Linked DNA regions of Oryzias latipes. The protein of the gene in region 2 purifies or fractionates together with the protein of the main gene of each other region. This does not show direct contact. Links are inferred from orthologs where the notes say so. Each region holds a gene or a part of one and is shown on either strand. Other genes may lie near its edges.

Region 1 (16,438 bases), on a different chromosome or scaffold from region 2:
CTGGTCGGCGTTCACAGCTGCAGACACGCCCCCTCCACGTGCTCACGCTGCTCTCTTCCTCCTGCCAATCTGAGAACATGATAGTTATTTTACTTAACCAGAGAGAGCCGCAGCACGGGGAAGAAAGAGCCGCATTTTGCACCGTTTAGCTTTTCCGCCAAAGTATAGCTTTGGTAGGGTTCCTGTGTGCGCGCGCCGCATACTGTCTGAACAACAGCCCCGCCCCCCTGTGCACACAAATAGCCAGATAGACCTCTATTCAGCGAGAATAGCAAAATTAATATCATCATTAATTAACAGACAACTGACTGACTTGGTGAGTTAAATATGCCAGATAACGTTTATATCTTATGGGACACACAAAAAAAGCGACTTCTCCAGTACCGATAGCCGAACCGTTGAGGTCAGATCTTAACGATACTGCGGTCTTGAAGAATGTTGCCCCGGGGCTCGTTCAATACCGGGGCTCGGTACCCATCCCTACAAAACATTCTAACAAAAAAGTCAGAAAAAGAAAATCTGTAAAAACTAAACTCCCTTAAAAGGCATACCAGTGTGTGAGTTGCTCCATGGGGGCAAATGTGGCTGCGCCGTGTGCGAGTAGAAAACATTCACATCCTGGTGGAAGAGCAGCTCCACAAACTTGGCAGATTCCAGAAACTTCCTCTTGCAGCACAGGATGCTGGGAGCCTGCTCTGATGCATAAAGCACGTGGCCACTGGACAGCGAGAACACCACGATGAAGGAATCCTGCGCAGAAACAAGAGAAGAGGAATGGATGAGCGCACAAAGCTGTAAACCCACACGCCTGCCGGGGCGACAAACGTTGTGAAACACTGTTGACAGGGTAACAACACAAGGTCAGAGGGGAAATTAGCTTTTAAAGTACAAAGAAGGAGAGCAGGAATCAGATCTTGAGAGCTTTGCGTCTACATGTTGTTATTTTTTGTGTGCGTTTGTGCATACCGTGTTTTTGAGGGTGTGCTCAGAGGTGACTCTTTCCAGCTCTTCCAGAGTGCAGAGTGTGGCATCCTTCTGGTCATCCTGTCCATTTCGCATGAGTAGTTTGTAGTATTCACTGTTAGCTACAAGTAGAAAAAAAAAAAAACATCTTAGCAACCAAGATAATTCAATAAGGACTCATAAAAGTTATCTTAGAGATCTAATCAGCAAAAATCACCTTGTACTTGCTTGACACAGTTGAGTGCATAATGCAAGGCTTCCACAGTGCTGACTTTGATGCGGCTGCGTTTGTCCACCGGAAGCCTCTTCTTCATCTCAGCCACCGTCACCATCACCTCTCGGTGGGCTTGCCCTTTGTCTCCATCTGCATGCTCACTGTGAAAAAAATAAAAATAGAAGTACAAGGAACAAGACTTAAAAATTCAAGGGAGATTTTTAGCAATTGTATGGGCTGTGCATTGGCAATAAGATATGGACTGCATTACATCCCAAGACTTAAAAAAAATATGTGTTAATACTAATACACCTTTCACATCAACCAAATACATTTTATTTAACTATCAGAACATTATGCACTGCAAGTATATCTCATATACTTTTACCAAAGAAAAATTCTTTTTTAGATAAACAATGAAACATATTTTCAACACTAAACGTTTCCACATCAAAATATGTTTTAGAATATATAAAAAAAATAAAACTTCAGTGTGCTTCTACCGGTAAAGTTCTTTTGGTATGGTTACGGAAATAAAGTGCGATTTATTTCTAACACTGCCTAGATGTACTTTAGGAATTTAGCAGGACTTCTGGATTAAATAACAGAAAAACCAGTAAACAATCTCCATCATCTCCATCAACTATTAGTTGGGGGTTTACGTGAAACACAGAAGTAAGTTGCTGAGCTAAATTTTTGCTTAAAATGGTTTTAGCAGCATTTGAAATCAACACCAGTATTTCCAAATAAAATCTTGCGATATTTTATAGAATAGATTTTTTTCCTACACTCAAATATATTTTATTTACTGATGCATCATAGTTGCTATTCATCATTGTACCAAAACTTGTTGGTAACTCAGAAGCTTGGGGGAATTTTTTTATTTTCTCTTTTTTTTTGTTAAAGTTTTTTTTTTTTTGGGGGGGGGGGTAACCAGTGTGTGGAGCTTAGGCACGGGATTTGCCAATTTATCACTAAAGTAATAAAAAGAAGTTTCGTAATGTCTAATATCTATTTCATTATTAAAGCAATACATCTGCCTGCTATGTTTACCTTTGATAAACACGCTTTTCTGCTTTTCTCTTTTACATAAAAAACACCTCATCAGGTAGTACTTTGGCATTAAAATGTGACAAAATGTAAAAATAATAAACAAAGAAGTATAAAGTAATTACCCTTAAAATAATTGTACAACACAGAACTACAGCTGTTAATGTGGCAGGGTGTATTTAAAGAGAATACTTAGTAGTTATCATCAAAAGGTCATTTCACGTCTATGTAAGAAAGCATTAAAAATGTTAAGATCTTAAAATAATTTTAAAAATATTCTAGGATATTCACAGAAGCCCAAATTTAAGGGAACCTTAGTGCTGGTCAGTACAACACAAATGTCTGTCTTTCAAATATTGACCTCATTAATTCTTAACAGTAATATGAAAGCATAGCGGTACCTCTTTGAAGAAGCCACAGTGGATCCTGCAGCACTTCCAGGGCTGTGATTGGCAGAAGAGGATAGATCATGAGAACCACTCGTCATCTCCTCGTCTTCCTGCCCCAGTTCTCCTCCCGAGGCTCCACTCTCCTCTCCCCTGAGGTGCTCAGGATGAGCCCGCCCATCCTGGTCCACTGATGCTTCATTCTCCTCCCCTAAACCCTCTGATGTGGTTGACAGAAAAGCAGACTTCTCTCCATCCAGACCACTGTCACCCCCTGGCATCACCGCACTTTGATCGCACATTAATGGTATTTTGTCCAGATAGAGTTGCACTCGGGGGTCTTCATGTGTTCAGAGAGTGGAATAAGTTCCATGTGGTGTCTTCAGTCAGTTGGTGATAAATCCTGGATGCACTGTCAAACGAAAGAAATGATAAGGATTTGAATTGAAATCGTTTTGAAGAATTCATTAATTTATAACATAACTGAGATCAAAAAGCAATTCATTCATTTTTTTCTTAGAAATGTAACGGCTGGCTGCATGTGGAAAGATGATTTGCGGTGTCTCCTCAAAGCTAGTAAGTACGGTTTTAAACCCAGCTGAGTCTAAACTGTGGTTTTTCAGGTTCTCCAGCTTCCACCTGCAGCCCAAAAGTCATGTTCCATAGCTTTGAAACATTGTGCTGTTGGAGCTAGTGTGTGTCCGGTGGTTGTCTGTCTCTGCATGTGGCTCTATGCTGCACTGGCAACCTGTTCAGAATGAAGCCAAACCTCGGGTCCAGCAACCATGTGACTTTACATAAGGTGAAGCAGGTATGGATGGACGCATACCTTTTTAGGTTTAGGGTTGAAATTAATTTAAGGAAGTTTGAGCTGCATTAAAATACTCGTGTTTTTTGAAAACATGAATAAAAAGGACACATTGCAATAAAAATCATTATACGTGTGGCAGTAAAGGTATTGTTCATGCATGTTAAAAAAAAAAAAGGTTTGGTTCTCAATAAGAGCGTAACGATTAATTCTATTCCAAATGTGTTTTATTTGTGTAATATATTATCATATACATGGATGCGTTTTACTAAAAAAGGCTTAAAAATAGTATGGTATAGGCCCTTTAAATTTGTCATAGGTTGTTTTTTTTTTTTTTTAAATATAAATAGTTTTAAAAAAGAAGGTCCTAAAATTAAAGTTGGTACTACAAAAACTGGCTGCTTAACATTTTAAAAACTACTGTCATCACATTGTCTTGCACCACATTGTAACAGTCACTTCTTTCTGAAGTAATTTCAAGACACTTCTCTGCTAAAGCTTGATGTACGGTAATATAGATATCATTTCTCAAGTTGCTTTAAGAGCTGGACAAACAAACACAAGGGGATTTATTACATTTCTGTTGATTTTTTATTTTATTTGAACAAACATGAATATTTATTTTTGCTATTTAACACTTTTTTCTCGCCTATCAACCTCTTTCTTAGCATTTCTTTTATACTACCGTCTGCTGCAGTGCGAATGGTATTTCTTTAAAAGTAAATGACTAAGTTAGGGAGTGTCTAGATCCACCCACGACTACAAAGTGGGAGTGGAAACCCATGGCTGTCCTCGTGTGTTTCATCACGTGATTACAATAGACCTGGCAAAAACAAAATACACCCAAAGTCCTGTTTTTTCTCAAGACCAGTTTAAGTGTTTTCATCTGGAGCGTAATAAACCATCAAGCAATAATGCTAATGTGAACAGGAAAAATTCAAAGCTCTGACAACTGTCACATCGACAGGACAGATAGTGAAACCAATGAACATAACTCAAAGTATTTATCATGTTGTCACTCCAGCATTACATAATCTTAAGTCAGAGTGTGACGATGTGCACTTAGACAAAATATTTGGCTTGTGTTGACACAAAAACCCACAAAAAGTACTTTTGGTCCTCTGATATTTATTTATGCAGTACAAAAACAGGCAGTTTTTCTTCACCATTCTCAAGAGATTGAGCTCTTCCTGCCGTCATATGTTCCTTTTAGAGGTACATATATGCATTTTTATAACAAGTCAATGCAAAACTGTATGCTGCAAGCTTTAAAAGAAATAGAATAAGAAAATAGAATGTAATATAAAAAAAAGAACAGCAAAAAAAAACTTACACAGCATCTGCTACAAGCTACTACATAATTTAGTAGAGGAAGTCAATAAACAGAATTAAAAGACTTTATAGCTTTTTCCCCAAACTGAAATAAACAGCCATCAGACATGTGTAACAATGCCAGAACAGTATTTGCAGAATTTACTCCTGCAGTATTCAAACTTTAAAGTCCCATTACCATCAACTTTTGATCTATGGTAGAAGTGTTCGCAGTGGTCTTTTAAATGTGATTGTGCCATTTGTAGGCAAAACGAAATAAAAACGTGTCGTTTTTTTAGACGGAGTTTTCAGCAGAGCAGCAGGAGTGGAGTATGTCTTCCCTCATTTCCCATCATCCCTTTGTTTACACTCTCTCCCACTAGCTTACAGCCCCTAGCACCTACATCACAGCTACAGGCTTTTTCCAACCGCATATTTTCAGGTGCTCCTAAATCACAACGATTTGAATAAAGAAATCCTCAGAAATAAAACTTTAAGCTTAATTTTATTTATTTATGTCCTTCGTCATGGGAAAAATGCCACAATCTTCATTAGAGTGGCATAATAGTAATCTTTCAAATAAGCTATCAAATGACTAACTTAAAAAAAAAACATATTTCACCTGTTTTAAGTAGAATCAGCTTGATCTTGATAACATCAGATCTTCTTTTAGTTGTTTAAATTAAAGTAAGTTAATTTATTTATAGCAACCCTTCAATTATAACTATTTAAAAAAATAGCCTACATAGAACAATGTGCAAAAGCAGACTAGACACCAGATGTTCAATGGAGGTCAGCATAAAAAACATACAGACACCGATGCCCAGTTTATATGATGTAATCGAAAAGAGGAGGAAAAAAAATCCACTCTCAGCAGCCTACAACCGGTAACGGCTGAAAACAACTCTGACACGCATTTGACGGGGCACAAATCCCTCCCACTATGAACCCACTAACCCCCTTTAAACACAAAACACTTGGCCCTGAGCGTGCGACACAACACGTACTAATAATCATCGAGGCAAAAACCTGATTTTGTTTACAAAAAGAATCGCACGTCAATGCAACATTAATCTGCAAGGAGGAAAAAAAGACACGCCCCCTCCCTTCCCTCCGTACATAAATTAATAAAATATTATTTACAAATTGTATTTAGTTAGCCTAGGTTGATACAAGATGATGCAAAAGTACAGTGGGACACAAACTCTGGAACATTTCCAGCTTTGGTTATGTTCTGCTATTTCTGCTAGCTTGACTGGTTTAGCCGCCGTTTACTTGTTTCGGCAGACATAATGTTACTAAGCTAATAATATATATTAACATCACCAACCAACGACACTTGTTCAGAATTGATTTACTGTGTACATTATAATAGCAAGACTGGGTTAGCGGTAAAGTTTAAAACAGCAAGCTTGAACTTGTTTTGTTTATTATAGTCAATGCCACCTCGCTAACAACACGGGGTTAGGTGTCAGCTAGCTCGTGGAGTTAGCAAGAGACACTTGAAAATATAGTTTCTGGGGTTAATATATTTACCTTTTTCGGTCCAATTCGATCTGAGCTTCAAAATACAACAATTCCACAAAACGACGTCCCGGATAGAATCAAAACATTAAATGCTTTTAAGTTTCCCCAGAGAAAACGTCATCCATTCCGAATCGCTTGACACATTCGTGCAACGTGAGTTTGGCATCGCGTTAACTCCGCCCAGTCTACGCTAATTGGGCAGGCCAAACTTACATCTGGCGCCTGATTGGATGGAGACAGTTGTAGTGGGCGTGCTTATCCCCATAGTTGTTGGCGGTTCACGTGGATCCCCATGTTACACAACAGGGTGAAAACATGTCAACTGCGCAGGCACCAACCCCTATGAGTCTACATCCACGCCCCTGCAAATGCATAATTATGAACGGAGCCGCTGCTTTGACTCTAATAAAGGATCGATCGATTAAAAGATTTAAATATAAAAAACAAAATAAAATGGAAGATTCCTGACATTGCACACAGAAAAAGATTTAAATTAAGTTGTGTTGCATTTCATAACTAAAAAAAAATGAGTTTGTAAGAGTTATCTTCTCTGCAGGGACCAAAATCAAACTTTAGCCATCTTCTGGAAGTGAGGAGACATTTCTTTATTGTTAGACTCCAAACAAAAAAGGAGGGAAAAATATATATATATTAGAAAAGATTAAGAATTTCCATCTCCCAAAGAGAAATAACATGAAAATAATTTAGAAATGACTTTATTAGTTTTTATTCAAACGGATAATTTAGGCCACAGAAGAAAATTGCACTTTTTTTCCAAACATATTCCCAGTAGAGTATACATTGGCGAAGCTCATGAGTTAAATGTAAATTAATTGTAAGAGGGAAACAGCAGATTAAAAATAGGAAAGCATGTAAGTGGTTAAAAAAAGGCATATAAGAAATGAAATGAAATAAGCATTTCATTGGTCTAAAGGTTTTATTTAAGGCAGCAGTTTATCTATATTTGATAGAAACAAGGAAAAAGAAAGAGCAAATCAAACTGAAGATGAAAAAACTAGATGCTCTAAAAATATGCATCAAAACATTAACATTTCAAAATGAACAAAACCACAAATCCAGTGTTGGTGTAAGAATGAATACCTGAACAGGGGTAGAATGTCAAAAAGGCACGGTATCAGTAATTATCTCTGTTGGGAAGACTTTCAGACTGGTCTGAGTTAAATCAGACCTTGAAAACCTTTTTTTTTTTAGTATTTTAAAATATGGATGTTCTTGTTGTTCTCAACGCACCATCAACACGAGACAGTGTTACAAATCTTTGAAAAATGTATAGTTGCCCATTAAGTCTGTATGAACGCTGAACCGAAGGCTTCTCATAAGTGCAGTGCCAATGAGGCGTTTCCAATATTTGTAAGCCCACCTGCCCAGTTGGTCTATTTGTCTTACAGACCGTCCTCTAAAAAAGCATTACAGCACCGAGTCGCCCTGAACTGAGCTGCATCGTGCAAGTCCAGGTTCATGGTTTAAGTCTGGGTTTGCCTTTATATTTTTACTTTTAATTTACTTTTGCTACACCTCAGTAACTTTGAATTTAGTACATTCGTTATGAACTTTTTATGCAGGTTTCATTTTTTATTTAATTTATAATGTCCTTGGTAAAGATAATATTTATATATAAAGAAAATACATATTAGTAGCAACATCAAAGTCCCCACCAAGAAATAAAATAGGTGTCATATTCATTGAGTTATTGAAAAATGAAAGCAATTTAATAACAAAATGTAATATTACAAATATTTTTTCCAAAAACCAGGTTCACTTGAGTTAATGAATGCAAGGCTTAAGCACATTTAGAAAGGCACTGTTGTTTTTTAAATGGCAGCAGTTGGAATATGGCTGTATTTTTGGCAGTTCTTCTTCATTGAGAAAAAGAATATTATTTTAAAAGCTACATTCTAATACTGTTATGCCTCGATATTTCACACACAAAAAAGTGTTGGATACAATCTAGAAAATGGATAATACGTTATGTGGACTGTTGTTATTTTGAGGCTGCCCGAGTCGGGCTGTTTGGTCTCGGCATGCAGGCACTCGTTAAAAAACAAGTTCAAACCAGCTGCACAGCAAAGGGAGTGGTGTCCAAAATAAGCTGAAGAAAGACAGGAGTGACCACAAGGTTAGTTAGCATCCTATTGAAGAAGATTTAAGGTTAAATTTCTTTTTTAAAAGAATTTTCTTACAAAGAAATGAACTGTGTGGAAAAATGAAGCGACGCATTAGATTTAGCTATTCACTTCTGAACTGTAACCATTGCCAAAGATGGCGATATCTAGAAAATAAAAGGGAAGCCCTGCCGTTAAACGTCTTTAAACTGGTAAGAAAATTAGCTCTAAACCCTACCAGAACATCTTTGTAGGCATGTTACTTTTTTAGCCTTCCAAATGTTATACAATGCTATTAATAAAATGTGAAAATGTAAATATATACCGAGTTAAATTTACAACAATAACCTTCATACCAGTCTTGAAGTTCAAATCTATGTGTGTGCATGCTTGCCATAGAGTAAGGGTTTTTATTTCTTATAGACTTTAGAAGAGTTTTACTTCTTAACAAATTTTTTGTAACTTTTCTGGCAGTTTGTTTTGGAATGTGGTATAGTTTTTTTTTTATTTTAAAATGTTCTGATGTCATCCATGGTGCATTCTTTTAAAGGTGTGGAACTTTGGCAAACCTCAACTCTGGCACAACCTTAATACACGTACATAAATTCAAAACAAAGCAGGACAAGGAATGAAGACCCCTGCAGATAATTCGTGTGGAGGTCAGCAGCCACCAATGTGAGATATTCTTTGTGATTTATGTGGCATGATGTTCACACACTGCCCCATTTCTCTGCTCTTCATCATGGCCTCCACGTCTCATCCGCTGGCTGTTTTACGTGCTAGACCAAACTACAAAGAAAAGGATAGAAAAGTTAAGACAATGCATTTACTGGGCATGTCCTTCTAAAATTATAGCCATTTAGAGCAACAAAGAATTATAAATATTTAAAACATTGAATATTATGGCTTGTAAAAGAAAGATTGTCACAAAAAGTCAGTACAAATTATTTTTTGTATTCAAACATAGTTGTTAAGTTGTAAAAAAGGATCGAGTACAACCTAAAAATATGCTGATTTGACAGATTCTTTAAATCAGCTGACATAAAAATACTAACAATTCTGACTTTTTTTTTCCCGATGTCTTGATACTCACTAATGATGATGACGATGATGATGACTATGACAGCTATCAGGATGGCCCACATCTGCAGGCAGAGAATCGAGCGCCACAAAAATTAAACACATTTAGGCAAACAGATCATTTGTCAAACAAATTCGGTTAATCTGTATTATTATTGCTGCTTCGATAAAAAAAAAAAAAAAAAAAAAAAAAATCAACAACTGGTGGTTTGTTGAATCTGTGAAGTACAGTTTGGGGCAAAACTGAGAGTTACCTTGCAGTTCTTCCACCAGTATTTCCTCTTTAGCTTAGCAGCACTGGTCTCAAACTGGGAAGCTCCAGCTTGCAGTGCATCTGCTCGGTCATCCAGTTCCGACAGTTTCTGATCACGTTCCAGCACTTTGTCCACATTAACACGCATGATATCCACCACCTATGAAGAACAGACAACAAATAAAAAGCAAAAAAGAACAGTTTGATGTGCTTTTACTTTGGATGTTATGCAAGAAAAAATGTATTTGAATTGTCAACTACAAAAGATTTTGAACGAAAAAAAGATTTTTGTTTGTTTGATTCTAACTTTCTAACCTGATGATACAACAGGAAAAGCAAAACATTCGTATTACGATGGCAGAGTCACAACGTGTTTACAAGTTAGGTTAGAATAAGATGGAGACAAAACACTAGTAATCAATTTCTAATTTAAAAAAAAAACTGACCTTATATTAATAATAAAAAATAATCTGACAAACATTCATGTCCTTACTGTGTTCTATATGAATATGACCTATATGTTTCATTGATTTACAAAGCCAACTGCCCCAGCCCACTGCAGCAGAGAACAGGAGACGCATGCATGCAGGCCTTACATAACCATGAAGGTGGTGATTACATAAATATCTGGCAGCTAGTTGACACTACGCTGCAAACTCAAGTTAAGGTTTTTGAAGGCTTGGTAAATCTTAAAGGGCCCATGCGAAGCACTAAAGAGTGCCAGGTCGTTTACATATCTGAAACAACTGCAAAGTTTTAATTAAAACCCTCCTGGCATATAAACTGAGATCCATGGGAAGAAGTATGCAGAAAACATCTATCATAGTAGGTAGAGGTATTATACTTATTGGAAATAGCATGAGGGCTTCATACAGTTTAGTGGTTAGCACTCATGGGGAGGAGGTTCAAATCCCAGCTTGTGTATGGTTGTGTAGCCCTGTTGAATTAGAGAACTGTCAAGGATGTACCCCGCCTTTGTTCAACAGTTACTGGATAGGCTCTTACAACCCACTGACTCCAAACAGGATTAGGCAGGTTTATAAATTGGATGGATGAAAACTGTGTGCAAATTTTTTTTCTAGGCACACAAACATACACACACGAGGTTGATGTATTGCCCATCTCCATGGAAAAGACAAAAACTCGTCCTACCTCATCCACCTGAGCCTGCGTCTGCTGCAGACGCTTGTTGCTCGAGGCTGCCCCGGAGCCTTCTGGACCAAGGGTTGACCTGATTCAACAAACATTTATATGATATTTTTTATTTTAAGATTTTTTTCTTTTAGACAGAAATTGGTTTCACATCATCAATTTAGAAAATATTCAATCCACATCTTGAATGTCAAAGGCCTTTTTCTACTTTGAGGGCTTTGAGAAGATCTCTTAGTTCCCTAAAAAGCAAGTCCATTATCTTTAAGACTTTATTAAAACACATTTCCTTCATTACTTCTATAATTATAGACACTTTTTCAGTTTTAGAAACTACATTCGAGACTTTTTATACTAAACGTATGTGAGCTACAATCTGCAATAAATTTGTCAATACATAAACAAAAGGGTGGAGAACAATGAAAGGCAAGTTCACACTCAAGTTCAATTTCATATCGCTTTATGTAACTAAAGGGGAATTTTCCCCAGATGTCCTGCAATAATACTGCCACACATTCACACAAATCGATGTGGGCATGACAGTGTGTCATGTGGAAAACAGAAGGTCCTTTTACAGTGTTTCCACGAAACAGGTTGTTCAGGTACATCAACCTAAAATAATAATAAAATAATAAAAACAACCCCAGATTTCTTTTTAAAACCATTGATATTTTAATAAACAAAGACTTCAACAAGTCCTCCATGCCATCATCTAATGCTGCATGTGAGGACTTCGCAGACCACTTCATGGGTAAAATCAATGCCATAAGATCAAACATTTCATCCATGCAAAACACTGATCTTAACAGACCTCCAGCATTGTCTTTACCAGAAGAAACACTGGGGAGTTTTGTCCTGGTTGATGCAGAGATGCTTGGTCGAGTTGTATCCCAAGTAAACACTACAACCTGCCTTTTAGATCCCATTCCCACTTCACTTTTTAAAACATTTTATGGATTCTTTGAGTCAGAGCTTTTAAATATAGTAAATTGCTCTCTTCAGACGGGGGTCTTCCCCTCTGCCTGTAAGACGGCGGTGGTGAGGCCCCTTCTGAAGAAGAGTCAATTAGATCCAAAAAATCTGGATAACTATAGACCCGTATCCAACTTACCATTTTTAAGTAAAATAATAGAAAAAAGTGTCGCTACTCAACTGCATGAGTTTTTAAATGCCCAAAAAATTTTAGAAAAATATCAGTCTGGTTTTAGGAAAAGCCACAGTACAGAGACGGCTCTTTTAAAGATCGTTAATGATCTTAGATTAAACTACGATTCACAGAAACTTTCTGTTCTGGTGCTACTGGATCTTAGTGCCGCTTTTGATACAGTAGATCACCAGATTTTATTAGACAGACTTAGTAGTCTAGTGGGCCTTTCTGGAAATGTTCTTAAGTGGTTTTACTCTTACCTGACAGATCGACACTTTTATGTAAGTATGGATATGTGCTCTTCAGGAATCCACGAAATAAGCTGTGGGGTTCCCCAAGGGTCAATTTTAGGGCCAATACTTTTTAATTTGTATATGTTGCCTCTTGGGGAGGTCATCAGGAGACACGGCGTTGACTTTCACAGCTATGCTGATGATACACAGCTTTACATCGCCGTGTCTCCTGATGACCTGGAACCTGTCAACACTCTTTTAAACTGCATTTTAGATATAAAGTTGTGGATGGCAGAAAATTTCTTAAAGCTCAACCAGGACAAAACTGAAGTTTTAATCATCGGTTCTGAAGACAAGAGAGAGATGATTTTACCACATCTTCATAATTTTAAACCTTCTCAATGTGTGAGAAACCTGGGCGTACTTTTTGACTCTGAGCTAAATTTTATCCCACACATTAAAAATGTCGTTAAGACAGGATTTTATCATCTCAAAAACATTGCCAGAGTCCGCCCGTTCCTCTCTCTTGCCAGCACAGAGGTACTAATGCATGCTTTTATTTTCAATCGTTTAGATTACTGTAATGCCCTGCTCTCTGGTTTACCCAAAAAGTCTCTTTCAAACTTACAACTTCTACAGAACTCAGCGGCACGAGTTCTGACGAGAACCAGAGGGCGGGAACACATTACACCGGTTTTAAAATCGCTGCATTGGCTCCCTGTGCGTTTCAGGATTGATTTTAAAATTCTTTTAATGGTTTATAAATGTTTTTATGGTCTTGGGCCTTCTTATTTAAATGATATTCTTTTAAAATATGAGCCCTCGCGGACCTTGAGGTCTTCCGGTACTGGCCTCTTAGTTGTTCCCAAGGTGAGGACCAAAACTTATGGTGAGGCTTCGTTCTGCCATCACGGTCCTCGCCTGTGGAACGGCCTTCCGGAGAGCCTCAGGGCCGCAGAGACAGTAGAGGTTTTTAAGAAGAGGCTCAAGACCCACCTTTTTAATTTAGCTTTTAGTTGATTTTAACTGCTAATTTATTCTATTAGTTTTAGTATAGGCTATTTTATTTATGTATTTATTTTAATTTTATGCATCTTATTTTCAATTTTATGTTTTTTTCTTTTTTCTTTTTTATGTTTTTAATTTTAGCATCTTATGATTTTAGCGCCAGTGTTTCTTGAGGGGATCTTTTCCTCCAGGGATTGCCGGCTTGGTCAGTGGTTGTTGCTGCAGTTGTTGCCCTTGCTGGGGCGGCTGGGGTCTAATTTTACAGCTTTTGGCTGTGAGGGGGACCCCGGTGTTGTCCCGGTCTGGGTGGGCACTGTAGCGATGTTCCGGTGGCCGGGCTGGCTCCTGGTATGAAAGGATTCCCAGATACTGTTTCCTCACAGCAGAGCTAAGCCATACTTGTTTATTTATTTATTTATTTATTCTTTTACAGTTACATAGTCATATTTCATTGTACGTGGGAGCCATGGGTCATGTGGTTTAATGGAGGGGAGTGGGAAGGGTGAAGGGTGGGTTGGGGTTTTTATTGTAATGTTGTGTGTTTACTGTTTTTAGTGTTAAAGCGCTTCGAGCTGCACAAAGTGCATGAGAAGCGCTATTTTATAAATAAAGTTTGATTTGATTTGATTTAAAATATATAAAAATGAACAGATAATTTCCAAAAATACTTATAATTTTGGACCTTGCTTGGAAAAAAGGATAACAGCTGCAGAGATAATTTTGAATAATTGCAAGTTAATTTTCTGTCTCCAAGTTTGTTTAGAGATATAGTTGTCATAAGTGACTTTTTCCAAAGGAATTCAATAGAAAGCTCAGCAGGTTGAGCAACCAACTGTCTGTCAATCATTTGAGGTAAACTCTCAGGCTTGACAGTCAGTAAGTGTGGACGACTAGCAAAGATGGCTACACGCATTTACCAAGAACACCAATGTAAACAAAGCATGAACACACCTAAAGCCTCTTTTCTGCTTCTCCACCTTATGGCTGAACATCAATTCATGGTTCGAAAATTAGATTGCTGTAAATCTAAAATTCCCTTTTCTGCAGATGCTACCTAATCTACTGAATATTCATTTTCTGGTCATTTGCTTGTGAAGAAAAAAAAATTAACTTTACAATGAAGTAAAAAACACAACTTTAAACAAAACATATGGTTTCTTTTGCTTAATATGATGTTATATGCTCGAGAAATAAATCTATTAAAACATCTTATTAAATCCCATTACGTTGCTTGTCATGACTGTGCCACCTAAATGAAACAACTAATATAAATCAGGCAACAATATTAAGGAAAACTAAAGACTTCAAACCAATCGTCGTCATTTTGCAATCTTTTTGTTATACGATGTGATAAAAGTCAAATCATAGAAGCCCAACAGCAGTGTCAGAATAGATCCACAGTATGCAGGGCTCCAGACTAACTTTTTTCACTAGGAGCACTGTGGCCCCTGAATGAAAATTTTAGGGGCACAACCTGAAAATTTAGGGGCGCATACCGTAAATCAACATGCAAACCAGATCTTCTAATTTCCACTGTATTATAAATACACTAAATAAAATAAATAAAGTAAATAAATACTTTAATTATAGATGCAAAAATTACAATCTGCTTTTTCAAATTCAGTGTCAGATTTTATTCTGCACTTTTGAAGATGCAACAAGAAGGTAAACTGACAGCAGCATCGCTGTCATGACAAAAAAAAATAGTAAACAATATACCATAAATTTAGAATAAAAAAAGTTTTTAGTAACAAGTGATTACCGTAATAACCTTTCGGTCATTTCACAGTTAAGAACAATACTTAAATGTATGTAAACATTAGGGGATGGAAATTCATGTTGGCGAAACCAAATAGGTGCAGCCAAGATGCACAATAATTTGAGATCACCCAGATGGACGTAACGCTGCACAGATCACCTGGTGTGAGACATATTTTTGTTTTTGCTCTAACATCACCTGTCAATCAAAACCAAAATATCACCAGAAAGGGGCGGAAGCAAGACCCCAACCTGACCAAACACAGCTGGAAATTTAGTACTGAACTGACTGAAAGCTGCCCTACAGACTACAAAACAATGCATTATGGGACATGCGTCCTGATGGGTTTTTGTAGTTCACTGATCAATTAAAATAATTTAAAATACCAACTGATTAAAAAAAGGCTACATACATCACAAAACATTGAAATAATTATAAAAGATGTAATATCACAGATCGTACTTAGGGGGAGAGGCATAATTATTAAATTGAATGTTAAGGACAACTCCAACTTCCTGTTGCAGCTTCGCCATCTCCCGCGGGAGCGGTGTGCTGTCGTTACAGCCGTGCATGAGAGCCGTGGTTTGCTTCGCGAGTTTGAGACCCCTGCTGTACACTCTGGCACTGGTATACTAGCCGCAGGTCGAAAGAACGAATCAATAGTTCGCTAGCTGTTCATAGCTCAGACGCACATATCAGGTTGTGATGATTTGTCTCCGTTTCCTTCCCACAGACGTTAACGCGCACTCGATTATCTCTAGGCCCCGCCCCTCCACATATTTTAGCCACTTGCAGTGACTTTCCCTATTCTTCTCACACGCATTGGCCGCCTCAGGCATCACTCAATGACATGCGAGTGTGCGCTCGCGTGTGCTCCAGTCTCACGAGTGTGTGTGTGTCTGTCTGCGTGCGTGTTGGCTCGTGTCTCATTGATGATTTCATTGCTCATTTCATTGATCATTGACGGGCCGCTTCCACGTTTAATGAATAAAAAAATACGGAGGGTGGGGGAGGCAAATTTACTGGTCGCGCATGTGCGACTGGATGTAAAATTCAGTCGCACAGTCTCAAATTTTGGTCGCAAAATGCGAGCAAATGGTCGCAGTCTGGAGCCCTGGTATGTTTTCAACATTTTTTTGTAGCCATTCTAGGTTTTATGCAGAGAGTGTACTCAAGTCAACAGCAGACCTTGGAGACGGCATGCGTCTATTGTCACAGCAGCAGTGCAGGGTGTTTCAACTCATGCCACCACTTCGGTTTTGCTCTCCTGTAACCTTTGTTAACCGTTTGAATCAGTAGTTCCAGTTTCCCACCAGAAATCCTGCCTCAGCTAAGTCATGACTTTTTCTTTGCAGCCCATGTGAGCATATCAGTGCCCACTGACAGTTTGTTGCCTCTGCAGCAACAATAGGAATGTGTCAAGAGTC
Region 2 (16,800 bases):
CTCTTAATTTCAAAAAAATACACGATTATATATATAAACTTAATTACATGACAAAACAAAAGATTTGAGGAAGATGCGGGTGATTTCCAGAGGCAACGTGGAGATCGTCCAGAACGGATCGTCCACACTGACCTCAGAACAGCAGTTCACAGTTCTTTCCAGGAGAAGGAACCTGTTTTGGGATGGCAGGTCAGTCCAGCGGGGGTCGAGTTTTCTCATCTACATTTGAGAACAAAAAAAAAAAAAAAGACAGCTGTGCTGCCAACAAGGACAGATTTGCTCTACGGACGTGTGTGGAAACAAACTGTGTGCATGAAGGTCGCAAAAGAGGCTCCAAAGTGGAGGAGGGGAAAAAAAAAAAACGAAGCAGACGTCGGCGTTCATTTGATGAGCTTGTTGGCTCTCTGGTTGGCGTCGTCGATGCGCATTTTGTTCATGTCCGCCTGAAGAGGAAGAAAATAAAAGTAGACAAGCTTTTCTTTAGCTCACTTTTCATTTGACGGGAATGTATCAACAATTCCAACTACAGTTAACAAGTGAAAAACATTTATAAACCTGAGAAAAGCCTTAAGGATTCTATCCTCCAGTGCCTGAAAGCTAACAAAAACACTGCAGTAATTGTACCTTTGGAATTACCATGATACTTCCACTGCCATGCTTCCCCCTCAGGGATCTACTGTGAGCCAAAATCTCTTTATTACACATTCTGATCAAAATTATGTTCTTCAAAAAGTCAACTATCGTCTATGTCTGTTTTTCAACCTTTTTTGAGCCACGGCACACTTTAACTTTGACAAAAAACCTGTGGCACACCAGCATCCAAAATTTAAAAAAAAAAAAAAAGGAGAAACTCTATAGTCTGTATTGATCTACAGGCCCTCTGCAATCACACATGCATTTTTGTGACATCTAAAAGATGTAATAAAAAAGTTAGAAGATTTAAAAACTGTTTGATGTGTGTTCGTTGTGGTTTCAAGACGTTAAGAGGAAAGACTCCTTGTGCGTCGAGACGCTGTCACTTTAACCCAATGCATCATGGGAGATGTAGTGACACCTGCCGCCGAACACAGACAGACTATCGTCTCTGAGCTTCATGGTTTTGCTCACTTGTTCCACGGTCTGACACCGGATTCTGTGGAAAGCTACACAGCTAAAGACGAGCTTCAGCTGGTATTTTTGTTAGAACTGAGCGACTTTATGAGCCAAATCATGACAAGGAAGTGAAGACTTTAACCAATTGTGATTGGTCAGACTGATGACCAAGAATGATTGGCGGAGACAGTTAAAGGGGCGGGACTTCTCAGAAAACAGCTTTAGCTGGGGCTAAATTGCAGTCCCGTCATTCTTATCAAAATGTCTTTAATTAGAATCAAATAAACACAAAAAGAAAAGTAATTTATGATCTTTCATACTCCTAACTACGCAGTGTTTTATCAGGGCCTGTTTGGATGAACAGAGAGCTGATATACAGGAGATGGAAAATGTTTTTAGATCAGTTATGAGGGCACACCTGACCACCTCAGCACACTGGTTGAAAAACACTGCTCTATGTAAAGAAACCGGATGTTTTGCTCATTTGATTTAATTTTGCTAAGCTAACATAATTAACTGAAGATCAGTAAATGAAAACAGGTTGAGTCAGTGTGTTTGCTCAAAAGCCGTGGCCTTGAGCAAGGCCATTGACCTGTTTCAAAGTAATACCCGAATGATGAAACTGTGCGACACTGGACTGGGTGTCCTTAAAAAAATAAAATAAATAAATAAATAAAAACGAGCTGCTTTTTCACAAATAAAAGAAAAGCCGAAACATTGAAAATCCTCTCCACTCACAACAAACTCTGGATTTAAAAATCCACATTTTTCCCCCAGAAAGCCTTTTATTTGATCAAGTCTCCACTCCATCTCTCATCTTTCCCCTGAACGTCTGAGACTTTGAATGTCGTAAATATAAATGGAATACAGTTTCAGAACTGAGCTGCACTGCAACAAAAGATTTTTATCCTGAATATCTTGTCGGCTCATTTGATCTTTAAGCATCTTATTTTTATTTACGTCATATCACTTTTCTGGGCTTTTTAATTGATTTGGGGACTAATGATTATACAACTTTAAAGAGAAATTTCTCTTCAAATGTGTAATTCTAGTCTAATATCTAGAGGATTTTTTTTTTAAAAAAAAAGGAAAGTTCGAGAGCTTGAAATAGGATATATTTGGGGGAAAAGTATAAGAATGTATGTTATACATTTTAATTATAAACAACTTTTTTCAGCAACATCTGCTTCCGGTGAGAATTTTGATAATTTAATAATGAAAATGATAGTAGCCAATTTTGAAATGTTATTTTGTCTTAAAAGATACTTTTTTCAACTAATCCCCCAAAATAAATGATTCTAGTTGTTTTTTTCCACTTATTTTAAAAAAGTAAAACATCTTGTTTTCTCTAGTTTGACTTGCTTTAAGGACACTTGTTTGTCTGTCTTCCTTAAGGTTCATGTGAGGCTTCAGATTTTCTCTTTAGGATTTTTAAAATGTATTTATTGAAAATGTTATGAGACCATTTTCAGCTGAGAATAAAACCAGATGGTTGGTGGATCTCTGGCTCTCACCTTATCGGTGATCCTGTCGATCTGTACGTTCTGCTTGTCTATTTCATGTCCCATCGTCATCGCCATGCCTTTGAGGTTGGAGATGATCCCGCCCACCGCCTCCAGGTTTTCCTCCATCTCATCCTCTCGCGCATCATTGGTCACCCTGCAGCACAAAGCCACGTTTGTTGAAACGACGGTCGGCGGTCTCTGAACTCGGGGACCCGTTCGAGGCCCCACCTCTGGATGTACGGGCCCGACGGCGCGGCGGCGGTCCCCCTGGCGGCGGTCTGGGCGGGCTGTCCGTTGCGAGTGCGTGACGGCTGCCTGGACACCACCTTTGAGCCGTCGCCATCATTTTCCCCCTCCAGCCCTCCAGTGCCCCAGGTTTTTTTGTAACGCTGGTCGTTTTCAAGAGATGTGACTCTGTAAACAAATATAAACCGCATTTATGCGCCAAAACGTCAGGGAACGCCACACAAACAGGTTCACTAAAACACACACTGCTTTCAGGATGAGCCATTTCTACAAGATGCTAAATAAAGAGGCAGGAATCACAGAACGCCTCCTACCTTATGCCTTGATAATCAAAGTATCTCCTTCTCCAAAGTGAAAGCATTTGAGGAAGATTTGTGTTTAGAAACAACAAGTCACACAAAAGCTTCAAAGTCACACTTTCACTAAGAACTCGGAATAAAAACAGAAATGGATCAGAAGAATAAAACAGATTCTGCTTTAATGAATAAATGAAATGTTCCGCTTTTGCAAAACATGTCAATGTGAGCACGCGTGCAGCATTCTTCCTGATTCCAACATTTGGCATGAATGCAGTCCAACAATCCAACAGGACTCTTCCTGCACTCTGAGTGGCGGCGGCGGCGCCGGCAGCAGCAGCGGCGTACCTGTCGCAGGGGCAGGTGCAGAGGCCGCAGCACTTGTTCAGGTCGTTGAGGTTTTTCTCGGCCTGCTTCATGTCCTCGTTGATCTGCTCCATGCCCTCCTCTACTCTTTTGAGCTGCTCTGAATCACAAACACACTTCAACATCTTCATCTCTGCTGTTGGAAACAGCTTGCAGAGCAAAAATGGATCCAGTTTTTGTGTCATCAGAGCTAAAAGCTAAAAGAAATTCAGTTCAGAAACACGTCTAAAGCTAAAGGAACCAATGAGCGTTTCTACTTTTGTTGTAAAGTATGTTTCTGAATTCTAGTGAATATATATATATTTTTTTAAACAAAATGGTCAGGAAGCAGACCCTGAAATCCTGAGATCTGCTTCCAGGATCAAAGAGCAAAAACTTTGAAGTGAAGAAGAGGAAGATTCTGTTCAGGACCGTCTCTATTCTCCAACATGATAAACAAATGTTTATGCTGCGTTACCTCCTTGCATATCAAGCATATCCAGAGTTTTGCCCCCAGTCTCTTGGCTCTATAAAATAAAAAATGAACAATCCTTCAGAGATGATTTAGAGTAAAGACATTTGATTTGAAATTTGAAATAACAAATATGAATAGGCATAACATTTTTCCAATTACGTTCATCGCTTTAAGTGTCATAAAGGTTGAGAGGATAAAACTGAACTCTATATTTATTTGATGAAAGGAGAAACAAAAGACGCCAACTTGTCCACCATGAGTGACTTCTGCTCATAGAGAAGCAGCAGCAGCAGCAGCCTCACCTCCTCCGCCAGCTGCCTCATCCTCCGGGTGCTTTCCAGCGACTGCAGGAGAAAACATGGCAGCAGTTTGAAAGAGAGAAAAAGGATCACCAGCTAAACGGGATTCTGTGCTACATAAAAGAATCAAACATAAACTGCAGCTGGAGTCCAGCCGCAGCTCTCAGTCGTCTTTGTCAAAAACAAAAACGCATCTAATCCTTCCAAGCTGAAACGCTTCTGACTGGATGTAAACAGACACTCAAACGTAGTTATTCTTTTAACTCTTTGCTTTATTTACTGAGATATTTGATTTTTATTTGAAGGTAAAGAGGTGATTAAATAGATTGAGTTAAAATAAAGGAAATGAACAACAAAACAAAGTATTTACAAAGTAAGTAAGTATTTACAAAGTATTTAGTACAAAGTATCATTTAATTTGAACAAAGCCCAATTCAAAATGCTGTTTAAAAAAAGAAAAGGTTGATTTTTGCATTTTGACAGTTTATGAACATTCAGAACTTGTTTTATTAAATTATAAGCATTTATTTATTCATCTATAAAAATATGTTTCCTAAAATATACAACATATTAAAAGTATTTTTAAAGAACAAAAAACCTGAAGTAAACAAAAAATATCTGTTTTAAAATTATTTAACAACATCAGAGCTAGAGGGGGGAAAACAATAAATGATATCAACAAAGAGAATCAACGTCAAGTAATCAGATCCAAAAATATGTCCTCATTTCAAACAAGTTCTTTTGTTTTTATTGTGTGTACAAAAAATAAACGATCACTTAGTTTTTAATGTAAAAACTCAACTTCATTAATGAAAATTGTTCTTTTATTTCATTTATATAAATAGTTCTGTGAAATTTGTTTTCTTTTATAATCAAAATCAAATTGGTTTCAAATAATTGACAGTAAAAACGGTATTGAACTGAATCATGAACTGTAAAATAGAATTTAATATTTTCTCTGAGAGTCTCAGGAAATTCATCCGTTTCATTTACAAATGAATAAAAATGAGACTGGGCCTCGTCAACTTCAGTTATTTATAAAGAAAAAAACAGCAACTGCATCTAAGAGTACAAATAAAAGTTCAGTCCTACTTTTCTTTTTACTTTAAAACGGAGAATAAAAGTCAACTTCCTGTAATAAAACCTGTTCAGAAATGTTTACAGATTTAAAGTAAAAAATGGTTCAACTTTTGCATAAATAAGACCTGTTACTTCAGGCTTTTCTCCTATTTGACACGTTTGACATAAGAAGAAATGAGTAACAAACTGAATAAATGATGAAAAATACTAAGCAAATGGTTGATTGTTTTGAATTAGACCAGAGTTTTATGGAAATGTCTTTCCAGAGCAGACGTTCATGGATCTCTGACTGTCAGCCTAAAGCCTGACGACCGCAGCGCACATGCAGGAATGCGGTCAGGTCAGGTGGGCCCCGCCCTTCTGCGCCTCTTATTGTTAGGAAGCAGAGCGAAGCTGCGACTCCGACCGAGAGTCTGTGACCTCCTTTACTTGAACTCAGACAAATCACAGCTTAAAACGACAGTTTGTTAAAAAAAAAGATGTTAGTTGACTGTCAGAGAAGAAAAGAAGAAAATGATGGCTGCAGCTCAACAGGATGAATCACATGTTTTAACTTTAGAACTAGACAGAAAATGTTGGCCACTTGGTTTTTTACATTTGAGCTCCAGCTGCCATTTATCTGAGATTGTCCTGATAAACTGTCAGCCATGGTCAGAGCGTCTCCGAGTGTTTACCCAAAGCACGAGCGGTAAGTGGAATTAGCAGAGGGGCCCTCCCAGGTCCCCTGAATGATCTCCTGAATAAACCAGGCGGCAGCAGAAAGAGGGAAGAGATAGAAGCAAAGGTGCAGGTTAAGTCAGGAAGCAGACAAACATCAACCAGTGTGAGCTGCATGAAGGTGCAGAGCAACAGCTGACTGACGGCGGGATGCCCTCGAGTGCCGATTCAGTAATTACTGGAAGATGACGGATCGCAGAGGGAGCCGTCAGACTGAAGCAGGAAGAATCCCTCCGACGCGTCCTGTAACCTCCATCCATTTATCAGACGCTGAGTGGAAGCGATGTCTCAACACGGGTTCTTTTAGGCTCTTTCTAAAAGGCTAAAACATTTTAGATGTCGATTCTCCCTCACCGATAACAGGATTACAGAAACTATTGTCCAACCTGAACATATAGGAAAAGTCTTTCCCAGTTATCCTTATCGAAGATAAATGAGTTCATTATTAAATACGACATCCATTAGGCTGAACAGACTGAACTAATGAGATAATCATGTGTTAATAATGAGCGTCAGAGTTTGGGGTTCGTCTATCTTCCACACTTCTAAGCTGCTGAAACATTCATTTTTGGAGAAAATCTCTGAGTTTTGCTTCAGAGATGAAGGTCACGTCTCGGCGCCCCCACCAGAAAAGCCTTTGATGCAGCTCGTTTAGACGGACTGCAGGAGTTTGAGACCTGAACTCCTGTTCTTTATGCAGCTTTGGCCGTTGGATGCAACGGCTGACCACAGAGATCGTGTAAGGTGACAGAGAGCAACGCTTTGTTTAAACCGTTTACCCTCAGTTACATTAGAAACTTCTAAAAACATTGAAAAAAATGTCGCTTTTAACAATAAAAATGATATTTTACGGCGTTTCTAATCCAAACGGAATGATTTCCAACCGCTTTTTGCATTCATGCATCATCTAAACATTAAGATTGAATGAAAAATCAGACTCAGCTGTCACAGGCTGCTCATTAAATACAGAAATCTGTAGCCAGAGAGAAACAGAAGAAACAGAGGGACGGAGCAGGAGCAGGAGTGTGAGGAGTCAGCACCTCATCCGTCAGCTGGTTGGCCCTCAGAGCCATCTGTTCCACACTCATGTCCTCCATGTTGCTGCTGTCTTGTTTGGGGGCTCCTCCCGTGGCACCGAGCTCAATATGCTGAGGCCTGAAAGAAGGCCAGAGGTCATCAGGTACTAATTAGTATCCCATCGATTACCATAAAGCAGACAAAGAGGACCAACTCTCAACTGCTGAGCAGGGGACTATGGGTGATGATGAAAAAAAAACAAGGTGAATGGATTGGACAAACATTTGAATTTAATGACGTTTTAATGGAAAATTTATTTGAATGACATGACTTAAAATTCAAAGCTCCAGAGAAAATAGTATAAACATTTCTGTTGAAAAACGTGTAGCTCCCAAATCCAGGCAATGTAAACAGGATGATAGTTAAATATAAAACCAAACTGTATAAAACAAATCCTCATTTAACAAATATAAAACGGCTTATAAACGCTACAGTAACAGATTCTAAACTGCTAGGTTTGTTTCCTCACATAAATAATCACAGAAAAAAGGTAACAGGATCTGAAAAGCTGTAGTGTAATACTCTATTGTATTTTAAAGGATAGTAATTATATTAAAATCTACTATTCTTATTGTTTTCTTTTAAATAAGGAGTTGACAGTTCCTTTTTAGATTTTGTGCAACAACACAAACTGAAAAGATTCAGACAAATAGAAGAGTTATCATCTATGCACCAAAACACAACTAAATGTTGAGAAAATGACTCAAAAACAAAGAGTTTGAGATAATACACGTCATCTCGTTTGTTCAGAAGTCATCTGAACCCATACGGATGGAAAAACGGGATGCAAAACCTAAACAAATGGCTTTTGTTTGTCTTCTAAGGAGTGTTAGAAACAAAACCACAATTCCCCCTGATAAAATGTGGAGATCTTAGCAACAATGTTAATGAATGCAACAATGAAGGATCCAGAAAACTGACATGAATATGAGAAACAACAGACGTTGAACTGTCATGATAAGATACAATAAACCATTTCCAAAAATGTAAAAGTCTGACATTATAAAGGGTCTTTTAATGGCATTTTGAAACCTTGGTGTGGCTAAAAATAATACATTTTACAGTCATTACAAACTAAAATGTGTTCCTGTGAATGCAGGCCAAGCGTTCAGTGTTCAGACATCTCAACTTTTGAAACAGAGCGAGCGCTGAGAAAGTAACAGGAAGCAGGAAGGGCCGATCATGCCCGCTCACTGCAGGCTGCCTGTTCTTCATCTTTGCTTTAGAATATGAACACACATGTTAAACTCAAGGAAATGCAGAAGATGGTTTTAGAAAACGGTGATGCAGCTCACAGTTGTAAACACTGTTGAACAGCCTAGAATGATTTCCACACGCGAGTGCGGTCATGGGTGTCATTTTCTTGGGGTTTTAAACAATGGTTTATAGAAAATGTGTTCAAAAAAGCCTCCTTAGAGACACATGGTTAGTAGGAGAAGAAGTTTATTGTAAACTAAAATTAAAAGGTTTATTTCAATAAATTACAGGGAAAAATAATTCCCACCTTATGGGTTTTACATTGGAGAGGTACAAAAAAAAAGCAACCAGGCCGGAGGATTTCCTATAATCTGTCTTCCTGTCCTGTTCTGTCCTGTCCTCCCATCTTCCCCTTAAAGTTGACGTTTTCCTGTTTTGCAAATAACCTTTAAACTCGCTTCGCTTCCCATCAAAATCTGCAGCCATCCACAGAAAATAAAAATCAAGATGAAAGTGTACTTGGCAATACGTTCTGCTCCTAAATGTTGACTTATGCTGTTTTTACCCAACCCGAGAGGGTATAATTCAAGAGGGCACATGTTTAGTGTAAACTTCAAACAGATTTCTGAATTTGGCTACAACAATTTACACATAACAGTTATGGGTTTAATACCTGCTGCAGAATTTTAGCTAAAAAAAAAATGATTTGCTGGTAAAGATTCAAAGGTCAAACTGTTGGGATGTTTAGAATTCTTCCCCAAATAAATATATATTCATAAATATTCAGCTTTCAGGGAACACAAAAGGGTCACAAATTAAGGTAATTATGACGAGGCATAAATATTATCACACACAAAAAAACCCATTAGATCTAATCCATGTTCCCACAAACTGATTTCATTTCCTGTTCATGAAGTAACCCAGGCATAGATTTCTGCAGAAAAGGCCACATGGGGAATAATGCAACACTGACAAACCCACTCATGTCACTTTCTTCACAGCAACAGCAGCAAATGAAATGACCAAGAAGAAAACAGGAGAAAAACGTTTCTTGTTTTTCAACCCAAACCTGTTACTCCAGATCTTCATGAGCCTCAAAGTGACGTCTTCTCTTGCTTTAAGTCATGCTTGGTTCACACTTTAACCATTTTCCCTTCATTTCAATGCCTAAATGTTGCCTCTTTTTTCAATTTAAAACCTCATTTCTACGAATAACTCAATTTTACCACAATTGCAAGGACTTGTGTTCACAATTGGGAGTTAAACTGAATTTAAAACCAATGACATCATGGTTCAGCGTCGAAACTGAGACTCTAAAGCATGAATCTTTATTTTACCCATTTGCAGATGAAAGAAGTGGCATTATTACGATTTTTGACCCAGTTAATGGTACAAATCTGGAAGTAAAACACCCCAAAATGGTTAATCATTTCCGTATTACATATTTAACAAGCAAAAGCTAGTAGTTTTGCACCTGACCACGGTTATCTCTCAAGAAGCTGAACCAGCAGGTAAAGCAGATCACCTGACAAACAGATGATGTTTGGTTAAATGGGTAATATTAACCAAACACTCCCAAACCTTAGTTTGAAGCAAGGGGAAGTCATTCAAACAACACAAAACTCCACATTTTCACACACAAGAAAACATAAGAGTGAAACAGACAGTCTAAAAAGGTCTATTAATTCGTCTTACATGGTTGGAAGGTTTGTAGTTTTTCCTTAATCCAGGAAAGCAAACTTTTTCTCCTAGCTAACGTGTTGCTAGCCTGCTAATAGGCTAGTTCCGCTTCCCTGTCAACTTTCCACCCCAACTAAGTTGATGTGAACTAAAGTGAGACGTTTGTTGATACTCAGTACTTACTTTCAGACTCCCTTCGGAAGAGATAAAAGAGTTACCAACTCCTCCTTCCTTCTGGTATGTGGACTTTTCGCTGGTCACTCCTGGATTCCTTCACAGGCCCCACAGTGAAGTGAATAACGTAACCTATGACGCCTTTGGGTCTCGTCGGAATTAACGCTTTTCTCAAATACACGTGCTTTTAGTTATCAACAATGTACGTGTTATGCCGCGAAAAGTTATTTCATAGATATTAACACAACACATTTTTTAAAATATAGCGTATTATAAATATTATCTAACATTTTTAAACGATGATTAGCATTTTTTTACCATTTTTAAAGGTTTTCTTTGGCACCGTCCCGTCTTTCATTGTAACTGTCACAATATGCTGCCTTGAATATACATTCAAGTACACACATTTTACTTAGATATGACTTTTATATCAACTTTATACCATTTTCCGGGTTGGTTTGAAATACGAGGATAAGAAATTGTTTGGAGTTCCATTTTCCTACACACCAAGATGTCATCACTACACTGAAACTTAGGTCACGTGATCAGCCCAAACTTTGCTGATTCAGTTCATGGTGATAGTAAAAAGCAAACTTTACCACATTTTACTACTCTTTTTGATATTTTGTTCCCTATAGCGGTTGTTGTAAATGTCAGCTGTTGTTTTTTTTTTTTAAATTATTAATCTCGCTTCTCTTTTGTGTTATATTTGAGTTCATTTGTGGTCAATGTGTGGTGCTTTTTGTTTTGATAACTTTTATGTAAATTTGACTCATTTTTTTATTTCATATAAGTAAATGAAAGATTTGTGAGATGAAAACAGGCCCAATGAGATCTCTCTCTCACCTAAAAAAATGAACTTTTAAAATAACATTTATGTTAATCTAGGACCATTTTATTAATCTGCTTCATGTTTTATGCAGTTTTTAGTGTTTGGACAGCATTCTTAACAGTTTAAAAAGCTTCACACACAAGCTCCTGATGTCCTGTTACAGACTCCAGAGGAAAAACATGGCACTGCTCTGTTTCCCCACATGAGTGCAGCATTTACCCTCCACCCGTACCTCCCCCTCCCATTCTGCTTTGCATAGACGCAGACAGCCAGATATATTTCATAGTGCATTTTAGAGATGGCCTGAAACCTGAACCTCTGGCTTTGAATCTTCCGTCTAATTCTCAAGTTTAATGGTTTACACCACAAAAGCATTTTCAAGGTGACTGGAAAGACAGCCACAATATCGGCTGACAGAGTCTAAAGGAAAATTGTTTTTCTATCCCAACCTCAGCTAAATATTTTCCCTTGAGGGGTCACCTGAAGTCAGATACTTGCAAACTGGAAATTCCATGTGCAACTCCAAATTTGCACAAGCCATGCTGCAAGGCTAACCTTACCAAACGGCCTAAAGCGTCTGACTGATGACTTGCGCTCTCTCTGGCCATGTAACTTTTATAGAGTCTACATTGCATGCATTATTCAGCAATAACACAAGGCCCATCTGGACTCCTGTGAGTGTGATTCTGCAAGAGTGTGTCTGTGCATGGGTGAATGACTCATAGTTAACTTTCCTGCCATGCCGTTTCACCATTTCACGCCACATCCAACAGTGCCTGAAGAGCTAGAAATTAGTATTTCCACTGTAATTACAGCCAAGGTGCCGTGCTTTTCGCAGCACATGCGAGACAGGAAGGGACGGGAACAGAGTAGTGATGAAAAGTGGCCAGAGAAAGAGGGAGCGAGAGGGTTTTCAAGTCTTACCAAAATGATACGTTCAGGATCAAGCTCTTTCATCATGCCGTTCCTCATTAACGGAGATGGGAGCGCTGGCCTAATTCCATAATTCCTAAATCATGCCTGTTAGTTGAATATGAGGAGACAAAGGTACAGCGAAAGAGGAGAATAGATTAGCCCTCGCCTAATGACGTGTCTGAGAAAGCTGGAAAGGAAAAAAAAAAAAAGCATGATGGGAGAGAAAGACAGAATCAAAGAAGGGGAGAAGGGGTTGCCATCTGGATTCCTGGCTTTTGCTTTCTGGTTGCAGCCAAAACCAACAACGTATTGGCAAAAATTGTTTCTCCAAATTGTTTTCCTCCAGCAGCTACTGAGATTATGAAGTGATAATAGGATGTGGAAAAGAAGGTGCTGAGATATTGTCATGTGGATGCATGGACATACCAATTTTTCATCATCTCTCCAAACTAATTTCTGGCTCTGCTTCGTTTTTCCTCTCATAGGGGGCTGAGACATGGGAATGTTTGATGTCCTGCTTGATTGGGTTTAATTTTACATTGGGCTAATTCTGCCGGTACCTGATACTCGTCAGGACAGCGAAGCGGTTGACCAAGCGTGCATCTCAATATCCAGAGACAATCTCATTCCCTTGCCTCCCTTCCACTGGAATCCACTCGTTCACATTTTGTATTGAGCTCTTATATGAAGCAATTTGTTTCAAACTAGAGACATCGATAGCCATTAGCCTGCTTTGCACAGTAGGGCTAAACATGGCAAGCCAAGGCTCATCTATTATTCATATACTTCAGTTTTCCCCCAGAACAAAGTTTCAGATATTCATTTTTGCATCATGGCCCCAAAACTGACAAGTCAGGGGTTTCAAATAACACTTTTGAAACCAAGCTGACGAATGTTTCAAGCAAGCGTTGGCCATTAAAGACCTCACAGGGGAAATGTGTCTGTTTTATGTCGGTGGTGAAAACCCACTAGGGCAGTATTCAAAATCAAAGCGTTTGCCCTTGTGTTGTGTCGCGGGTAAAAATGACCCACTAGCATGTTTAGTTGTAGAAAGAAAACCCATCCTTTTCCAACTTAAGATGTTTATAACGTTCTCTGAAGATGCTCCATCATGCTAGAAAAAGTGATGCTTTGTTTTTGTTTATGTTTTCCTGTGAGCTGTACACCACTGAGGTGCAAAGATTGTTGAATTATAAAAGTATCTGAACACCAGGAAAAGTTCAAAGGCCACACACAAACTCTCTCTAATTCACAAACACACACACATACTTACACACCCTTTCTTTCTTTGTAATGTGTAACAAGAAATATTTCAAAAAAGAAATTAAGTTAAATTAAATTCACAGGTTCTTTCATCTAGCGCATATTGTAATTTAAAATTCAATCAAGCTGCTTTATTTTGAGGTTTTGGTAGGGTGGGTGATTTCTGACCCACAGGAAAAGGAGGGGAGTAGAGAGAACGTTAAGGATTAACAGTTTGAATGCTAAATCTGCATATTACCAGTTTTGCCTCAAACTCAAACAGTGTTTTTGCACAGCACATGCCAAACATTTAATAAGGAAACTAATGCATTTGGCTGGTTAACATGAAGGGACTAAAACAGTTTTACCTAAATCTCTGAGGGTCAGAAATTTCTTAAACCTTAAATTTAAGGCACTGTTTGAAATAATGGGGCATTTCATAATAGCTTAAATCTGTTAATCTGTAATAAAGAAAGGACATTTTAAGCAAAATATGTTGTAGTAATGTTGTATGTTTTGAGAAATGGTCCAAACCGTCATAATCAAAAGGAAATATGACATGTCTCTAAATACAACTTTACACATTTCTTTCAGATTATTTACAGAACCTCCAATGCCAGGAAATGTTGGACTTTGAAAAGAAACATCTAATAATGTTTGTGTGGTTTTTTTTTTATGGAAGATTAATGCAAATAGCTTTATAGCGATTCGAGATAGGAATTGCAGAACATTTAATCTAAAGTCAATACAGTAAAATTACAATTTTCCCTCATCCATGAGTGGTCCGGTGACCAATGGGACGGATACGAGTTAGCCAATAGGTGAGACCCTGGAAGGTTGACCAATCAAAACGAGAACGTGTAAAACTGTAAAATGTGCTGTTATTAAAAATCCATGTGAACTTCAACATGTCAACTGTTTCAGGAGCTTTGGTAATAGGGATTAAGGAGTGTGGGGGTTATGCCAGTGATACAAAAAGAAACAAACAAAACTCTTGCAACATGGCAACACAACTTTAGGCTTCAGTTTCACCTTGCGGTGTCCTGGGAGAGACACCGGCCCAGTTATTATATGTATATGGTTGTTGCAGATGGGACTTAAAGTGAAAGAAGCTACAATTTATAAAAGCTTTTTAGAACACAAAAACAAAGGTGATGCAAAATTGTTTATAGTTAAAACTGGATTACCTTAAAAAAAACGTAAAAGCCTTGTAAACTATTTTTGAGGGCACTAGATCATTATTAGTGTCAGAATTCCTGTTTATCTTAAAATAGAGTCACATTCTTGTTCAATTTAAAGCAATGCGATGGACACTAATGCACCAGAGAGACCAACATTTTATACGGATGCTGCAGAGACGGTTCTTATCTTTGACACTCTTTTATTTTCAATAAACACCAAAAGCAGCATTTAGTTTTGATGCTCCAGCTTTCAGGAATCCGCTGGTCAGCAAATGAGCCCATAAAAAAAACAAAAAAATTCTTACTTGTTATTTTCAGCTGCCTCATCTCCTGTCGGTTCTTGGGGAGCGGTGAGCTGCAGATGGGAACCATTTTGTGGTTTAACCCCCAATCCAACACTTCAGTGTCAAGCAAGGATCAATTCTTTTACTTTTTTTTTTTTTTTAAAGTCTTTGCTGTGCGTTTCATCCACAAGCTCCTAGGTATTGGGTAGACATTCTACCACTAGGTCACTGAGGCAAGGTTAGCTGTTTTGCTCCTGTTTTTGTTTCACGTCTTAAAAGTGCTGTTTGAGAATGTTGCCTCTTGGTAAAATGCACCACTGTAGATGAATGAAATTAGCTTTGATTTTTGCCAAAATGCATGCATTATTGCAGATTTTATCACATTGATAATCCTTAATCATTATGTGTGCTGCAAAAAATGAATCTTAAAAATGTTAGGACATCTCTGATTCAAGAAAAAAACGTCTTATTTTATGTCTTGGAAGAAGAACAAGCTTATCAAGAAAGTTTTTAACAGTGAAATGATCATATAATAAGAAAACATGTCTTTTAGTGTCTAAACAATTATTAACTTATTTCTGAGGGGCCTGTTTTTTCAGTGTGTTGTTGAAACACCCAGTTGTTTAACTCCTCATACTGCAACACACTGGCTGTCAAACCTCTATCCTACCATTACCTATTAGGTCCATTCATATTTGCCAAATAAATAAAAGTTTAATATGTAAAATCAAAACAAAAACATGTTTTTGTTGCATTAGGAAGATTTCCTCACTCAGGTGTTATTTTTCTTCTTGCTTTTACTTTTTGCAAGTCTTACATGTTTTTGTTGCAAAAACGATAGCTTATTTAGACTGAAAAAAGATTTTGTGCACATATTAAGTGGTTTTTGTGATCAGATGAGTCGCTCTTGGCAGCTGGTGTAGCACAAAACCAAAGGAAAAGAAAAGAACAATCAGGTGTTGCAATTAAAAGGGAATCCGCCATCCCTCAGGCGCCTCTTCGCCATGTTTTGTCAACATTTTTCATTCAAATTTCCAGCTTTTCCGCTCATTCTTTTCATGTGAGAGCAAGTACGGCTTTTCTTCTTCCCATGAACACCCCTGAGAATGAGTTAATAGTGTATTTCAAAAAAGAAGTTGTTAGGCATTACACTGTCAAAAAAACTTCCATGAATAAACTATCGTTAACATATTCCTGAAAAGTTCTGGGGAACTAAAGTCAGGTACAGCGTTCGAGTTTTTCTCCCATCAGCTGCAGGGAATGCAACAGAAACGAGAAAGGAAAGGTTATCAAGCCATCCGGACACCAGGTTGTCAGAGGTTCAGATCAGCCGTCGCATCTCCGAGGGGGAAACAGATGAAGATTGAAGAGGGTGATTTCATCTGAATAATTTCATGCCTGAACTGGCAAAGCTCAGCGATCGCCGTTCCAAGAGTTTGACGTCAGAAGACGATTGACTGTGCAAATAAAGAGGCTGCTGGAGTGCACGTATAAACCCAATCATCTCCCCTTTGAGGATAAAAAAAAAACACATAATGAGAGGTAAGTCATAACTCTGAAGAAAGTCCACTGAATCGGCTCATTTTTCTTTTTTTGAGTAGACAAAAAGACAATCTTTATTTGTGTGTTTCTCTTCTTTGCTCTGACTTCTGTGTTTACTTGTTGACTGACTTTAATGGCTAAAATCAGCTTCCACAAAAACACCATGAACAGAAAAAAAAAAAAAAGACAAAATCATACATGACGCTCAGACCTGAAGGCCTCCTACCACTACCAACCATGGATCACAAGCCAGAGAAGAAGAAGAACAATAGAAGGACAGCATCAGTGGATAGAAGAAGAGAAAACATTATTTTTAATCCTCCACAGGCTATAACCCATCACTGCATCCCACAAAGGAGTAATTAACAGTGATTTTAAATGCTACAAAAATAAGATGAAATACGGGGAAAAAAGCTTTTTCCCTTGTTTGTGTTTTCTTGTGTGTCTTTGTACATGTGTGTATGTCCATGCTATGTCTTTGTAAATGTCTAGAGCTGCACTTGTTTCTCTACAATGTCAGTAGGTGTTGGTATCTGGATGTGTGTGTTCACAGTGCTTACTCGTCGAGTCCCAGACCCTTGATGCAAATGCTCTAACTCCCCCTCTCTTTGTGCCGTTTCC

What was found.
Region 1: the proteins of snap23 (region 2) and vamp3 purify together in Homo sapiens (affinity purification with western blotting; 6 studies listed by BioGRID and IntAct, with this or other methods). This does not show direct contact. The link is inferred for Oryzias latipes from reciprocal best matches to the Homo sapiens genes SNAP23 and VAMP3.

Annotation. Positions count from the first base shown.
Region 1 is NC_019863.2:28,596,477-28,612,914, reverse strand, and holds the end of vamp3 (vesicle-associated membrane protein 3), read right to left. Parts: intron 10,947-16,438; coding exon 10,868-10,946; intron 9,876-10,867; coding exon 9,717-9,875; intron 9,528-9,716; coding exon 9,476-9,527; intron 9,172-9,475; coding exon 9,155-9,171; 3' UTR 6,960-9,154; downstream 1-6,959. Other genes in the region: period circadian protein homolog 3, read right to left, coding at 552-750, 967-1,085, 1,181-1,338, 2,629-2,915. UniProt on the Homo sapiens protein: SNARE involved in vesicular transport from the late endosomes to the trans-Golgi network.
Region 2 is NC_019880.2:4,939,927-4,956,726, forward strand, and holds the start of snap23 (synaptosomal-associated protein 23), read right to left. Parts: upstream 10,156-16,800; 5' UTR 10,027-10,155; coding exon 10,025-10,026; intron 7,211-10,024; coding exon 7,096-7,210; intron 4,304-7,095; coding exon 4,262-4,303; intron 4,012-4,261; coding exon 3,963-4,011; intron 3,606-3,962; coding exon 3,488-3,605; intron 3,012-3,487; coding exon 2,826-3,011; intron 2,752-2,825; coding exon 2,607-2,751; intron 444-2,606; coding exon 381-443; 3' UTR 1-380. UniProt on the Homo sapiens protein: Essential component of the high affinity receptor for the general membrane fusion machinery and an important regulator of transport vesicle docking and fusion.